Pelodiscus sinensis: one gene and its partner. The protein of the gene in region 1 binds, or shares a complex with, the protein of each later gene. Links are inferred from orthologs where the notes say so. Each region holds a gene or a part of one and is shown on either strand. Other genes may lie near its edges.

Region 1 (8,229 bases):
CGCAAAGGAAATGTGAGAAGCATCTTTCTGTTTTGCAGTCGGGGGCCACGTCAGTGAGGGTTTGTTTTTTCTGTGGGTCAGCAGCCCCCAACCCAAAAAAGGTCTAATCCAGAGGTCTTTTCCCTATCTCTGGATAAGACCTTTAAAAAGATAATACAAAGATGCAATTAAAAAGAGTTTTAGGAAGAACAAACATTTAAACTGCAGAACATTAACCAGGAGTTAAGACTCCTGAGGACAGGATATCCCTTTTTTGTCTATATTGCAGGGTGGTTCGTCTGATGCAGTTGGTACGAGCCACTGTCAGACATGATATTAAACTAAAAGACCATTGCTCTGATACAATGTGTCAGTTCCATATGTTCTACTTAATGAAAAAAAAGCAGAAAAAAGTTTCAGGACAACTGTGTATACTATGAAAAAAATAATGCAGACATAGGCCAATTTCCTTTCCTGAGCAGGTCACTTTTAACTCCAATGCGCACACAGTGACTGATCACCTCTAAGAAAAGAGGATCAAGAAATTTTGGACCCACTGTTCCTCTAAAATACAGTAGGTGTTGACAGCTGCACCACCAGGGCAGACATCTATTCTTATTTCCTCTATCTACTCTACCCCTCAGAAGCAGTCACACTTCTCAAAACACATAGTGAGTAAGGGTGAAACATACAGGCATGACATTCCATCTCAATCCATTCTCTGTTTTTCTTGACACTGTTCCCCTCCAATGGGTCATGTGGACTTGACTATGCAGGAAGAAAAGTCAGTAATATTTTCAAGTCAAAAGAAAATTTAAGTTGTGTCGAAGGGGAAAAAATATTTTTTTGTTCTTCCTCTCTAGCAGGAGCTCATACCCACCATAGTCAAACTTGTTTTAACCGAGGGAAGACAATAGGTGGGATGCTGTATAATCTCTGTGCTACTTTAAAGATGGGACCTTTACCTTTCACTCAGAGATAATTTCTTCGGAGACTTCTGGACTTCACCTGACTTCTTGTATAACAGAGTTTATGTGGTTTTCCTTGTATTATTTCCTGCTTCAAGCCCAGTAGCTGTATTTGAACTACAGCATCTGTTAGAAACACATTTACTTTTGATAAAGAAGTCCAGTGATGGAGAATCCACCATAACCCTTGGTGAATGGTTCCATGGTTAATTACCATGTTAAAAACTGATACCTTGTTTCCCATCTGAATTAGTCTAGCTGCAACTTGGATTTTGTTATATTTCTGTCTGCTATATTCCTGTCTGTATTATCAAAATTCTGTTCCCTTTGTAGGTACATATAAATGTAATCACATTATCTTTGAACGTTCTCTTTGATAAGATAAAAAGATTGAGCTCCTTACATCATCTCACTATACAGAACATTTTCTACTATTTTGAATGTTTCTTGTGGTCTTTTTCTGAACACTCTAAAATTTATCAGCGTCTTTCTTGAATGGTTGACACCAGAACCGGACACTATTCCATCAGCAATTGTACCGGTGCCAAACAAGTAATATACTGTATTTTCCAATTTAGACAGCCAAGGATCAAGTTAGCCCAGACTAGTGTTACCTACCAGTATGACATTCAGCTAATTATGCATCATGATTGATAAAGTTTTTCCCACATAGTCAGATTCCCAAGATAGTCACTGATCCTGTAAGAATGGTCTATTCTCTTTGTTCCTACATTTATTAACTTACATTTGGCTAAATTGAAACACATTATCTTTCCCCAGCTTACTGAGTGATCTCAGTGGCATGTTCTCCATTTACTACTCCCACAATCTTTTGTCAACTGCAAATTTTAATCACTATTCATTTTTTTCCTCCAAAAGAAGTTGTCTAGCGAAGAGCTAAGAACTGATACCTTTGGATACACTTGATGGCTGTGTTTAGACTGGCAAGTTTTTCCCGCAAAAGCAGCTGTTTTTGCGGAAAAACTTGCCAGCTGTCTACACTGGCCACTTGAATTTCTGCAAGAACACTGACTTCCTACTGTCTGAAATCAGTGCTTCTTGCGGAAATACTATGCTGCTCCCATTCAGGCAAAAATCCTTTTGCAGAAAAGGGCCAGTGTAGACAGCTCAGATTTGTTTGGGGCTTTTTTGCACAAATCGCGAAAATGGCGATCGGGGCTTTTTTGCACAAAAGTGCGTCTCAATTGGCACGGATGCTTTTCCACAAAAAGTGCTTTGGCAGAAAAGCGTCCGTGCCAATCTAGACGCTCTTTTCCGCAAATGCTTTTAAACAGAAAACTTTTCCGTTAAAAGCATTTATGGAAAATCATGCCAGTCTAGACGTAGCCGATGAGTCTCAATTTACAGTTACATGCTGAGACCTATCAGGTTTTAATCCATTTCACATGTTGATTTTGTATTATCATTCACTAATCAAGATATCTTGCAGGAACAAGTCAAATGTCTTACGTAAACCTGTTATATCAACACTATGACCTTTATCAATTGTATTGTATTTTCATTATACTTTTTTCAATCAAAAATAATATCAAGTTAGCAAAGGAGCCAGATCTATTTTTGATAAATTCATGCCAACTGCCATTAGTCACCTGCCTTGAATTCTTTGTTAAAGGAGTTCTCTATCAGCCGTTCCATTATTTCATCTAGGATTGCTCTCAGGCCTATCTATGTCTGTGCAGGCAGAGGAACAGGAGGGGAATATTCAATAAAAAATAGAAAGCCTTAGACATGGGCTGTGTCTACATTAGCATCCCTTTTCCAGAAAAGGAGTGCCAATGAGACAAATCGGAATTGCAAATGCCGCGGGGGATTAAAATATCCCCCGCGGCATTTGCATGAACATGGCTGCCGCTTTTTTCCGGTTCGGGGCTTTGCCGGAGAAAAGCGCCAGTCTCGATGGGATCTTTTGGAAAATAAAGCCTTTTCCGGAAGATCCCTTATTCCTGATCCCTTCAGGATGGGATCAGGAAGGGATCAGGAATAAGGGATCTTCCGGAAAAGGCTTTATTTTCCAAAAGATCCCATCGAGACTGGCGCTTTTCTCCGGCAAAGCCCCGAACCGGAAAAAAGCGGCAGCCATGTTCATGCAAATGCCGCGGGGGATATTTTAATCCCCCGCGGCATTTGCAATTCCGACTTGTCTCATTGGCACTCCTTTTTCTGGAAAAGGGTGCCAATGTAGACAAAGCCATGGTGTAAGAGTTCTGGAAGAAGGAAGGGCTTGGCCTACACATAGAGCTCTTCAGGAACAGCTCTGCATGTGGAGATGCTTATTACAGAATGAGATGGTCTAAAGCTTATAAGGCTAAGAAAATTAGAGAGCCACTACTATGGTCATGCCAAGACAGAGTGTAGGAGGGACACTGGATAGGGAGCCATACAGTGACTCCCCCGAAGGAACTGAGTCACCCTGGTAGGGCTGTGAAAGGTTAACCGGTAAGCATCACTTTAAACGGTTATTGCTTACTGGTTCCTGTTAACTGGCAGGGATCTGCTCCAGCCCAGTGGGGTCCACCGCAGGCAGGGGCTACTCCTACCACTGGGCTGGAGTAACCCCCTGTCCATGGCAGGCTCACCCCGCCCCCCTACCACAAGTTACACACTGGCTCCTCAGAGGCAGGGCCAGTTCCCTGGGAGGAGGCTCAAAAGTTGAAGCAGAGCCAGCAAAGGCTGGGGGAGGGAGAAGAGGCTTCACTGCAGGCACTGCAATATAAAGCTTATTTAAACTTTATACTGCACAGTCCAACCACATGTAACTTGAGATTTTCAGCAATTACGTAGTTATCTATTTAACCAACTTTTTACATCCCTAGTTATCAGCTGACCTTCAATGCCAACAGCAACATCTGAACCCTTCAGTTAAGAATGGGGCTCGGACGAGCTAAGCACAAAGCGCTAGAAAGGGAAACGACAACGAGATGCGGATACTTGAGCGCGCCCCTGTCACAGGAGCAGGAGACACACAGGCCATGTGGCGCTAGACTGAAGAGACTCGAGAGGCCTTTCACGTTCGCTCTTCCCCATTCCGGAAATGAAAGGCCGAAACTGCGGGGCCGGGTCCTTCCCGAGGGACCCTCAGTCGTAGAAACCGCGCGGGGTCAGCCTGCGCCGCGGGCCTGTCGCGCTCATTGGCGCTACTTGCGCCCCCCCCCCCCCATGGATCCGCTGCCGCCTCCAGCCCCACGTTCTGCCTGGCGGCGCTTCGGCTTCCCAGGCTCGGCCCCCCCCGCAGCCGTCGCTGCGCGGCCCCTTCGCCCCACAACCCCGCTACCGGCCCGGCAGCCCCCGCGCCACCCGCCCGGCTCGAGGCTTCCCGCCTCTGCTGGGGGGTGGGGAGGGGGGGGGGCCTCACCTGGGCGGGCGGGGGCAGCTGAACCACTTCGCTCCGCCGCTTCTCTTCAATAGCAGGCGACAGCGATCAGCTGATCAGTCGCTCCCAGGGCGCATGCGCCGCGTCACGAGTGTTATCCCTCCTCCCCCGGAAATGAGGGGCTCGGGAGCCCGGCTAGCTTTGAATGCTTTTTTTTTTTTTTTGGAATGACGGGTCATAGATGCGGAGGCAGGCGATTGGCCTCCCTCGGCCCACGTGACAGGCTAAGGCTCTTCCCGCGGAGCGACTCGGGAAGAGGTCACGTGGGCGGTGCCGCGCAGCGCTGGTCCAGTCACGCCGCCGCCAGGCGCCGAGGGGGGGGGGAGGAGGACGTGAGGTGAGGGGGGGTCACGTCGGCGGGCGGGGCGGAGCGCGGCGCGCGGGCGGCCCGAGGCCCATGTGCAGGGGGAGCTGCCGCAGCACGAACCGCCAGCGCCGAGGAGGAGGAGGCCGGAGCCGCATCGCCGGCCCCGCACGCACCGAGCGCGGATCCCGGCCCCGCCAGGCCGCACCATGAAGGGGTGAGTGCGGCTCCCGCCCGGCCTCGCTGTGACAGCGGCCTCCCCGGCCGGCGCGCCTCGGCCCGCTGTGCCCTGCCGCGGAGCCCGGCCCGGGCCCGGAGTGTGCGCGAGCGAGCGAGCGGCCCGGGCAGTGGTGGCGCGATTCTCCCGCGCAGCTGCGCAAACGCCGAGACGTTAATCCCAGTGCAACCGCCCTCACGCGCCGGGACCTGCCACTCTCCGCCCAGCGCCCGCGTGGGGCGCCCCACGCAGCCGCCTCCCCTTCTCCCGCCGCTCCGAGCCCGGCCCGCGGGCTGCTGAATTGTGGCTTGTCCTGGGGAGAGCGCGTGTGTGCAGCCGGCCGGAGGAGATGAAGCTGTTGGTTTTCAGCTGGGGTGTAGCGTTACACTGTGTGTGTCTGCGAAACGCTGACCCTGAACTGCAGGAAGCTCGGCACCTTGCTCTTGGAAGGAACCTCCTCTTCTCCCCTCCCCCCCCCCATGCCAAAAACAACTCTTCTGGTCCTTGTCTCACTTTATCTGCTTTATTGCAGAAATAGTAGGTGGAAAGAGCTGGTTCATTCCACTCTGCTTTTGAGAAATGTAGCTTATCGTCTTGTGTAGAGGTCTTTTCTGTGAAACTATCTTGAAAAAATCGTATGCAAGTGAATTAACTTTAGCATTCAATTTCTTTAGCCCCTATTCATAATAATAATAATGATGATGAAGATAGAAGCAGGGTCATCAAATTGGTATCTGGGAAGTCACTCAGAGAAGTCCCCAATGGAACAACAATGGAAATAATATTTTGTCTTAAAATGCTGCCTGGCCTTGACCAGCTTTGTGTGACTGCTTTGTAGGGAAGATTGAAAAGATGGTGTAATTTCCACGAGTATTTGCTTTTGATGTAGCCTTTAAAATTTATTTAGAACTTGTTGTGATTGCAGGATGTGGATGGAACAAAAAGCTAGTCTTCGCACCTAACAATGATTTTGCAGTGTTATCTGTTTAGGACCTCCCTTTCTGGTTCTCTTATGAAAATGTGGCATAGAGGTTTTAAATGTAGTAAATGAAATACTGGTTCTACTGCTATACAGAGGTAACATGGTCTAGCTTTCTGAACACAGGGCTGGAAGTCATGAGACCTGGATTTGGTTCCCAGCTCTGTTGACCTCTTATGTGACTTTGTGCAAGTCATCTCACCTCTGTGTGTTAGTTTCTCCCCCATGAAATAAGAGGGCTCCAGAAGTGGTGTTGCAAATCATTACTGTTTGGAAAGTGTTATGTAAGTGACAGATATTACTATTCCAGTTTGGCTGCTTAAGGCAGGGTAAAATGGTAGTTGAAGTACTTAGAGTTTTTAGCCCTTTACCATTTGTTATTAACTTTTTGGGGTAAGGTCACATACACCAAGTTTTTATCAAGCAACCTAGGTATCTTATTTCTCATGTCTAGTTTCAGACACCTTAAATGGTTTTTGGGACTGAGAGAGTAAAGCTGAGAGATTGAAAAAACAGGTCCCGAAACTTAACACACTTCAGGTACAAATGTGCAATTATTTTATGGAAATATGTATGAATAAAATATTGCCCAATAGAAATGATGGATTCCTGGCCCTATAGAAATGACAGATTCCTATTTCTTTTCCCATGTTCTTGGGAGCTAGTCAAAGTTGCTTTATTTGGCATAGGCAAGTATGTGGGAAGGGCGATAAGCTTGATCAGCAAAGGTGAGCCCACAGTTGGCAAAATCATTGTCAGCTACTTTGTTGGTGGAACTAGAATTTTGTCTCTTCTCTCTCTCTCACAGATTTGTATAGCTTGGCTTTTCTCTGATTCTTTTCTTTTCTCTGTTGATTGTGAATCAGGCAGAGCTGTTGTTTGGGCTTGGATATTTTATATGTATGTCTGTGTGCATCCGGGCAGAGCACACTGGGATCTCTTGGCAGGATATAGTTATAAGCAGTACTCCATGAGTGTGCCATGCTGCACCATCTCTCTACTGGAGCTTTGCCATTTTCTCTGTACTCTTGCTTTTTCAGTGGTTTCTGAGTTTGGGGATTCTGTTACAAGTAGAACATCCCACTACTGCTCCCTCATAGAGATTTAATAGTGAATTTTATGTCAATCCTACTCCCGTTTAGAGTACAGGCAGTCCCCGGGTTACATACAAGATAGGGACTGTAGGTTTGTTCTTAAGTTGAATCTGTATGTAAGTCGGAACTGGCATCCAGATTCAGCCGCTGCTGAAACTGATCAGTTTCAACAGCGGCTGAATCTGGACGCCAGTTCCAACTTACATACAGATTCAACTTAAGAACCCCAGGCGTCCCCAAGTCAGCTGCTGCTGAAACTGATCAGCAGCTGATTCCAGGAAGCCCGGGGCAGAGCAACTCTGCCTCGGGCTTCCTGTAGTCAGCCGCTGGTCAGTTTCAGCAGCGGCTAACTTGGGGATGCCTGGGGCAGAGCAGCACCCCATCTGCTCTGCCCCAGGCGTCCTGATTCAGCCGCTGCTGAAGCTGATCAGCAGCGGCTGAATCAGGACTCCTGGGGCAGAGCAGCTGGGGTGCTGCCGGGTTGGTCCAGTAGCGCCAAGGAGCGGTGCTGCGGGACCAACCGGCAGCGCCCCACCTGCTCTACCACAGGCACCGGGCTTTGCTCCACGTCTCCCTGGTCTGCTGGGGGGGGGGGGCACTAGCTGTGTCCCCCCCCAGCAGACCAGGGAGACGCGGAGCAAAGCGGCGGAGGACCCAGGCCGGACTGTGGCGCTTCCAGATCTGCAGACCAGGGAGACGCTGAGCAAAGCGGCGGAAGACCTGGGCCGGACCTGCGGCGCTTGCAGATCAGCGCCGCGGGTCCGGCCCGGGTCCTCCACTGCTTTGCTCCCCGTCTCCCTGGTCTGCTGGCTCCCCCAGCAGACCAGGGAGACGGGGAGCAGCTTTTCTCGCTCTGGAGGAGGTGGGCAGCGGGACCAGGCGTCCCGCCGCTCCAGTCCTCCGGGGCGAGAAAATCCCCGTTCGTAACTGCGGATCCGACATAAGTCAGATCCGCGTAACTCGGGGACTGACTGTACTGTGAATGACTTCTTCCTAGTGTTCGGTGATCCTTTAAATCTAAGGAGGAGGCAGCAGCAGCACAATGTATGTTTCTTGTGGTTCTCCGTCCCAATTGCTCTGAAATTAAAAGAACATGCAGCAGTGAAGTGGCCTATGCAGCTGCTTTTTTGTTCTATATGGAGACTACTGTATCATTCAGTGTAACTATAGGGTCTGCATATGCAGAGAACTTCCTCTGCTGAGAGCAAGGAGAAATCAATGAGAAATTAGGGGGCTCTTCTAGCATCTGCGGTAGCTCCCTGGATTCCATGAAGTGAGCCCATCCGTCAGCTTCTGA
Region 2 (7,791 bases), on another chromosome or scaffold:
GGAGGAGCCCCGCGTTTTATGGAAATCGGCTTATAAATATGAATATGCAGAATTCAAAGATGCTTTATGCAGACCAGGTCATGTGACATAATTTTACAGGTGGCAGTCAGCTGACCAGCTATCCTGCTGTTGTGCCTGTATCACTCGTGTATGGGACGGTAGGAGTAGGAAGGGGGCGTCTGGTTCGAAACTGAAATGTGCTAACGGGGCAGCAATGACTCTTTAGAAACTTAATGGCTCGGTACTCAAGCCAACCAGCCAGGAATCATTTTATTTGTCCTGTGAGCCCAAATGTGCTTGGCCCTAGAAATAACGTGCCCAGGCACCTGGTACTGGACTCCATCCCCAACCTGGCATTTCTCCCTGGCGCTGGAGAGACTGAACAAAGGGTTCCCACCCCAGAGGAAGTCTTTTTAAGGAATGGAAAACAGTCAGGTCTGTATCTTCATCCGGCCTTGGGAACTGCCTGGCCCACCAGAAGAGGGGACACAGGAAGAAACCTGAAAATGAAAGACTCTAAAGGACTCTCGCTGACAAGCCGTAGACCCAGGCCAGAGGGAAGAGCAGCTCTACCATGCCGCTGGTACGGGGGTAAGAACAGCTGCTTAGGGCAGGAATTCGCAGGTAGCAGGTTTCTTAGTGGATTAGAAGCAGCTAAGTGGTTTTAGAGAGGTAGCCCTGTTAGTGATCTTGGCAAAACAGGGAGGGTGTGGTGCGGGTGTGGCGGGGAGGGTGTGGGTAGTAAAACAAAAAAACCGCCATGTAGCACTTTATAGGCTGACAAGATGGTTTATTAGGTGATGAGCTTTCGTGGGGCAGACCCATGAAAATTCCCCATATTTCGTAGGGAATATGATCTGAGGAAGTGGGTCTGCCCCATGAAAGCTCATCACCTAATAAACCATCTTGTCAGCCTATAAAGTGCTACATGGCGGTTTTTTTGTTTTACTACCCACACCCTCCCCGCCACACCCACACCCTCCCTGCCAAACCTGTGCCACACCCATGCCCTCCCTGCCACACCCACACCCTCCCTGCCACACCTGTGCCCTCCCTGCCACACCTGCTTCGCACCCTCCCTGCCATACCTGCTCCCTCCCTGCCACACCCACACCACAGCCGCCCCTTCCCCGCCACACCTGTGTCGACTCCGTGACACCGGTGCCCTCCCCTCTGCACCCACACCCATACCCTCTGTACCACACCTTCCCCATCACACCTGCACACCCTCCCCACCACACTGGTGCCACACTACGCCCTCCCCGCTGCGCTGTCCCTGCCACACCCGCCCCGTTACAAGCTTCTGAAACCTGGCACACGTTAGCAGTCCCCTCAGGAAGCAGGGCGTAAAATCCGCTTTAGTGAGCAAACTGGTTCCATGTTACGTTTAACCAGCTAACTGATTAAAGGGCGGCAGGTGGCTGGAGCGCCCCCCCCACCACGAATTGCTGGGGGAGCCCCTGCTCCAGCCCCACGTTATCTGGCTCCGTGGAGGGGAGGCTTGCCAGTGACATGCTTAAGCAGGCACAGCCCCGCGGGAACGGACGCCCCCCCTGCCCCGGCGCGCCTGCAGCGGGAGGAAGCAGGACGGTGCTTGTGGGGTGCAGCCGCAGAGGCAGTGGCTGGGGGGACGGCTGTCCAGCACACGTCCCTAGCTAGGCCTTGCCTGGGCCCCGCTTGGGCGGAGGGACAAGGCGGGGCCAGGAGCCGGACAGAGAAACCACCCAGACACGTGCGGCTGGCAGGCCAGGGAACTTCAGTGGAGGGAGCCACCGAGCATCAGAGAGCAGGAGGGGGAACGAGTGTGTCCAATCTGTCGTGACCAGAGGGGGGCTCTTCCCACGGGCAGCCGGGGCCGGTCCAGTGTCCGGCAGGCACCAGGAGCCTGCCACCCTGGCTACTGAGAGCATCCCCACGGCAGACACTGCCCCGTAGCCCTGAGCCCCACAGCCAGGCCAGCTCGGGAGCGGAGCAGGGGGCCCGGGCCAGCCCTGGGATGGGACAAACTCGGCTGCCCTGGGGCCAGCACGGAGACCTGAGGTTTGAGCAGACCAGGAGGCTTTGCCCTGCTCAGTGGTGCCTCTCCCATGGCATCCAGGCCAGCTCCCGGCTGTTGCAGCCGCTGCCCCGCGCCCCGGCGGCGATCCGGGGCTCAGGGACGAGACCTGGAGCTGCCACAGGGCGATCGCAGTGGCTCCCGCGAGAGGCCTCGCTCTGGCTCACCTGTGCCTTCCAGCAGCTGGCCACCATCCCGCTGCAGGCCTGACGTCTCTGGCTCCCCCGTGGCGATGCCGGATGTGCTGCACCAGCCTCCTGGTCATCAGACGGGGGATGCCGGGGCCTGAGGGTTCTGCCAGCCCCTCCCTGGAGATGCCCCCACAGCTCCCTGCTCCTGAAAAGCTATCTCAAGTGGAAGCCAATTAGGCAGAGGGCTCTGATTGGCTGAATCTTGGTACTAGACCCACCCCCATGCATGATCTCCGGGCGACTCTTGTCTTTCATCGAGTGATTACACTGGGCACTAAATCAGTCCCCTTAACCCTCTTACCCCGCAGACGCAGGGATTAGCGATCCCTGGAGAGAAGCTGGGCACACGCCAGGCAGGCAGCGCGATGGCGGAAGCACCTCCAGAGCCCGCAGTGAGAGCAGAGCCTCCTCTGGCCGCCGTGTCTGTGCCTGGCCGAGCCCCTGGGACCAGGAGACAGACACAGCCCAGCCACCAGCTGGCGAGGCGGGTCCCGCCTAGCACTCGACCGATGGCTCTCTGAGCCCAGGGCCAGCAGCTGCTAAGAGTCGTCTTCACCGTGCCCGCTCCCCACTCCCCACTCCCTGTGCCTGCGGCGCCCGGCCCACACGGCCAAGGCCTGCTCGGGTCCCGGCCGCGTCAGAGGGGCGAACCTGCTTGGCATGGAAGGACACTATGGAGCGTCTCTCAGGAGTCACCGGGCTCTGGGCACGGTGCGGCTGCCCCATTGCAGACAGGCGCTAGCAGGAGAGGGGAACTTGCCCTCTGAACACAGGCCGAGGAGACTGGGCGGGCTCTAGGGAGGGGAGGCCGACAGGAAGGGCGATAAGAGTCTAAAGTGGGGGAGGCTCTCGTAACACAGCAAGGAAGGGGCCCGACGACACCGAGAGGTGGGCAGACTTCACCCGAGCCAGGAACTCCTGGCCACAGGGAATCAGCGTGGCCTGGGCCTCTCTGTGGCCAGCCAGGATATTCAGTGGCCTGGTGCAAGTGAACTCGGGCGGGGCGGGGCATGTGCTGCTCTGGGGCTTAGGCCGGTCTCCGCCATTAGGGATCCGACTGGGCCTGTGCATGGGCCGACTCTGCAGCTGCCGCCTGCAATCTGTGGCTGGGTGCTACATGGTGGCGGCGCGGGGCAGCCACAAGGGTGCTGTGCGCAAGAAAGCCCCTCCCACCAGCCCGAGCTCTGGAAGGGCAAAGAATCGCAGCAGACAGGAGGGTTCTCATCTCTAAGAAGCAGAAACAGAGACCCCCCGGCCCTAAAGGAAGTCCAGTGCGGACAGATTCTACAGCTGTTACCTCTTGGAATTAGAGACTGCACCCTTGGGTGTGTGCGTGGCCTACCTGAGCCTGTAAACAGCACGTTTCATTTCATAGTTCATAACTCCTTCCCTAGCAGAGCGCAGGGCCGGCTACCCGCGCTGCCTTTGCTGCGAGATCTGAGCACAGTGACCTGGGAGAGGAGGTGGGACTCTTGGGATTGGGAACTACCTGAATACTTGGGGATTGGGGGAACTGACCGTTCAGAACACAGGCGGGCTGCTGTGCCCAGGGGACTCTCTGGTAAGACTCTGTAGGGTGAACATTTCTGAGGCAGGCTGATATTCTGTTAAGAGCCCAATCTAAATTCAGACTCTGGGAATGGCACATGAACACAGTACATGGTTATTCCCCTTCCCCACCAGTCCAGCCCATCAACGGAAAGCCATCCCCCAGGATGGGAGGCAGGACAAGACACATTCAATGGTGCTAATGTCTCTGCTTTAATCCCCAGATGGACCGCATCCCGCAGAGATCCCTTCTTGGAGCTGACAGACATAGCACCACTTCACTGATAACTGATGTCCAGACTAACAGGCTACATCTCTATTGCTTTGTTTAAATACTTCTTGTACTGGAAACACGAGATAACTTTCTATTACTGTTCTTATCTTGCCTTACTGTTAGCATCTATCTGGGGGGGTCTGGGATCCCCCCCCCCCCCGGCACCACTTTGATCTGCCTATTGAGCATCCTATATAACTAGCTGTGACCTATTGTTCAGCAGTGTGCACTGAGCCCTGGCTCTGAATAGTCCTGGAGCCTGGACACCATATAACTCGCTGCCCATGCACCGAGGTACTCGGAGTGCCAGAACTGCACTAGAGCAAGCACTCTGGGAGGGAAGCCCTCCCCCGCACCCGCCTCCCCCCCTCCCTCGCCTCCCCTCCCCCCCCGCCTCCCCTCCCAGAGCCCTTCCCCCTCCCCCCCTCCCCCCCGCCTCCCCTCCCAGAGCCCTTCCCCCTCCCCCCCCGCACCCGCCTCCCCCCCTCCCTCGCCTCCCCTCCCAGAGCCCTTCCCCCTCCCCCCCCGCCTCCCCTCCCAGGACCCCGCCCCGCCCCCTCTCCAAGAGGCTGAGGCGGGGGGAGGAGGGGCCGCCGCGCTCACGACACTTGCCCGCGGGGTTTGTGCCGGGCCTACAAAAAGGGGGCGGGGCGGGGGGCGGGGCCGGCGATTCCCCTCCCGGACGCTCTGGGCTCACAGGCGCGTCTCGCTGGTTCCGGCGCCGCGCGCGGCCAGGTCCCGTGACCGGAAGCGGAAGCGGGGCCGGGCGCGATGGCGGCGGAGGGCGACGTGGAGCTGGAGCTGGAGACGGAGCCGAACGGGGCCGGGGGCGGCGCGGAGGGCGCGGGGGGGCGCGCGGCCGAGAAGCCCCGGAAGCACGACAGCGGCGCGGCCGACCTGGAGCGCGTCACCGACTACGCGGAGGAGAAGGAGATTCAGAGCTCCAACCTGGAGACGGTGCGGGGCGGGGCCGGGGACAGGGGGCGGGGCCTGGACAAGGGGCGGGGCCGGAACAGGGGGCGGGGCTTGGACAGGGGCGGGGCCGGAACAGGGGCGGGGCTTGGACAGGGGCGGAACAGGGGGCGAGGCCGGAACAAGGGGCGGGGCTTGGACAGGGGCGGGGCCGAGCGGGGGGCGGGGCTTGGACAGGGGCGGGGCCGGCACGGGCGGGGGCCCTGCGGGATGTTCTGGGCTCCTCCATCAAGGGTCCAGCTGTGCCTGGCTGTGCCTTCCTGAGCCGTGGCTCCCCCCCCCTTTCCCTCTTCTCCCCCAGGCCATGTCCGTGATTGGAGACCGCCGATCCCGAGAGCAGAAGGCAAGGCAAGAGAGGTAACCGCTCCCTGCACCTCTCCTGTAGAACTTAGAGAATCCTAGAACCACAGAGCTGCAGGAGACCTCAGAAGGTCAAGTCCAGCCCCCTGCTCTAGGCAGGACCAATCCCACCTAAATCAACCCGGCCAGGGCTTTGTCAAGCCGAGACTTAAACACCTCTAGGGTTGGAGACTCCACTATGTCCCTAGGGAACCCATTCCAGTGCTTCACCACCCTCTTAGGGAAATAGTTTTTCCTAATATCCAACCTGGACCTCTCCCACCTCAACTTGAGCCCATTGCTCCTTGTTCTACCATCCGTCACTACTGAGAACAGCCTCTCTCCATCCTCTTTGGAACCTCCCTTCAGGAAGTTGCAGGCTGCTATCCAATCCCCCCTCACTCTTTGCTTCTGCAGACTAAACAGACCCAAGTCCCTCAGCCTCGCCTCATAGGTCATGTGATCCAGCTCCCTAATCATTTTGGTTGCCCTCTCCAATGTGTCCACATCCTTTTTGTAATGGGTCAGCAGCCCACACCCCTGTCCTAAGCCATTTGGTCCGGTACTATGTGGCTTGGTTCTGCACATGCAGAATCTTCCTCTAAAGGCTCTGGGTAGTTTTTCTAGTTAAACTTTCTGCTTATCCATGGCCAGTCTCAATAACAGTGGCTTTGTCTCAGCAAAGAGCTACTGCAAGTGCTCTGGTTGTATTTGACAGTTGTGACTGAGCTGCTCTGCAAAGGGGAGTCTGTAAGATTGGTACTTTATCTTCTGATTCCTTTTGTCACAGGGAAAAAGAACTGGCAAAGGTTACAATCAAGAAGGAAGATTTGGAGCTGATTGTGAGTATGGCAGGAAGTGGTGCCAAGAGCGAGGCTGGGGCAGGCCAAGCCCAGATCTCAGTCAAGTTATTTACTCAGTCTCGGGGGCTCAGAATACGTGCACTGCAGCCGGAGGACAAAGGGCTGTAAAAAGTCACTTGTGTTCCTGGCGCACTGCAGTGCAGCAGAGACAGCAAATGTGTACGCTTGGTGCCAGCTTCAGTGATGCTGCAGCAGCAAGCCTTGAGCGAGGCCTGTGGTGCAGCATCTCTTCCCTTGGCTCCCTCCCTGCAGATGAACGAGATGGAGATCTCGCGGGCAGCAGCAGAGCGCAGTCTGCGGGAGCATATGGGGAACGTGGTGGAGGCTCTGATCACCCTCACCAACTAAGCACATTCCTACGGGACTGCTTGGTGCTTTGGGGAGAGAACGAGGAAAACTCTTGCTGGGACTTCAAAGTCTTTGTGCTGCCAGCCCTGTCCTGAGCACAGCCTTCGTGATAGTGGTGGGACAGCCAGATTGGTCAATGCTATGTGTTAACTTATTGAAATAAAGAGCGCGCTAATCTTCTGTGGGCAGAGTGTATAAAACAAGGCTCAACAGGCGCTGAGCTCCGTGCAAGAGCATGCAACAACTCCACCAGTTGTAGCAAGCTTGGGTCAGTCCACGGTGCACTGGTGTGCGAGCTATGGGCACTGTGTCACGAGACAAACCCCTTCAGAAGACAATGGCTGAGCTTTCAGAAAGGGAGAGCAGAGGTATCTCTTCCCACCCCTGCTGAATGGTTCTTGAGAAACTTTGTTCCCTTCCTCCCTTCCAGCGCTCTGTCTTGCTCCCAGGCTTAGGTTGAGCTAGCTTGCTAGCGCTTAAGCTGAGCCCCACTGTCTTCAGTCTCACATGGTATTGGCAGATCTTAATCCACAGGGGTGCTCTGTATATTTACACTGTGCTATGTCCTGAGTTAGCGGAAGGGGAGGTTCTGCCTTCTGCTGAGTTCCCTACTAGTGCTTCAAGGCCTCAGCAGCCCAGAGCCGCCTGCTTCGTCAGGCCCCGGGGGAGCGGCTGGTTTCAAAACAAGGTGGCAGGGTGCTTAAAGGCATCGTAGAATGGAAGGGTCAGAGGGAACACAAGCTTTAGCTTGTGCCCTGGGAGGGAGCCGGGTGTTCACCTTGGCTCCCACGAGGGACAGGGGCCTTTCGAGTGGCAGTCTAGTGAGCTCTTCTCTGGCAGCTGCTAGAGGGGCAGAGCTACCCCAGTGCCAGGATGGGGTATGAGCCCACAGGCCGCCCACGGGCGAGCAGACACCACGCAGGGTACTCAGGTGGGGGAGGCAGGCCAGACGGAAGTGCTGTTACATTGAGTGCTTCTTCCTCAAAGCCAGAATTCCATCCACCTCCAGCACCAGGCTGCATTCAGTTACCCAAGCCCCCAGCAGACACAAGGGAGAGGGCCTTGGTTCAGCTCCCCCCACCCCTCCCAAGCCACAGCACAGCCACTCTTGTGAGAAAACAACTTTTAATTCAAACTCACCTTGTGCCTCGGGGGCCTGGCAGAGCCCCAGCCCCCAGTGCCTGGGGATGGGAGCGTCGA

What was found.
Region 2: NAA50 (region 1) and HYPK share a complex: the UniProt entries of both Homo sapiens proteins name them as parts of the N-terminal acetyltransferase E (NatE)/HYPK complex. The link is inferred for Pelodiscus sinensis from reciprocal best matches to the Homo sapiens genes NAA50 and HYPK.

The regions. Positions count from the first base shown.
Region 1 is NC_134711.1:141,203,819-141,212,047, forward strand, and holds the start of NAA50 (N-alpha-acetyltransferase 50), read left to right. Parts: upstream 1-4,688; 5' UTR 4,689-4,851; coding exon 4,852-4,859; intron 4,860-8,229. UniProt on the Homo sapiens protein: N-alpha-acetyltransferase that acetylates the N-terminus of proteins that retain their initiating methionine. Has a broad substrate specificity: able to acetylate the initiator methionine of most peptides, except for those with a proline in second position.
Region 2 is NW_027466027.1:113,393-121,183, forward strand, and holds HYPK (huntingtin-interacting protein K), read left to right. Parts: upstream 1-4,748; 5' UTR 4,749-4,840; coding exon 4,841-5,026; intron 5,027-5,342; coding exon 5,343-5,398; intron 5,399-6,170; coding exon 6,171-6,222; intron 6,223-6,495; coding exon 6,496-6,591; 3' UTR 6,592-6,771; downstream 6,772-7,791. Other genes in the region: SERINC4 (serine incorporator 4), read right to left, coding at 2,224-2,250. UniProt on the Homo sapiens protein: Component of several N-terminal acetyltransferase complexes. Inhibits the N-terminal acetylation activity of the N-terminal acetyltransferase NAA10-NAA15 complex (also called the NatA complex).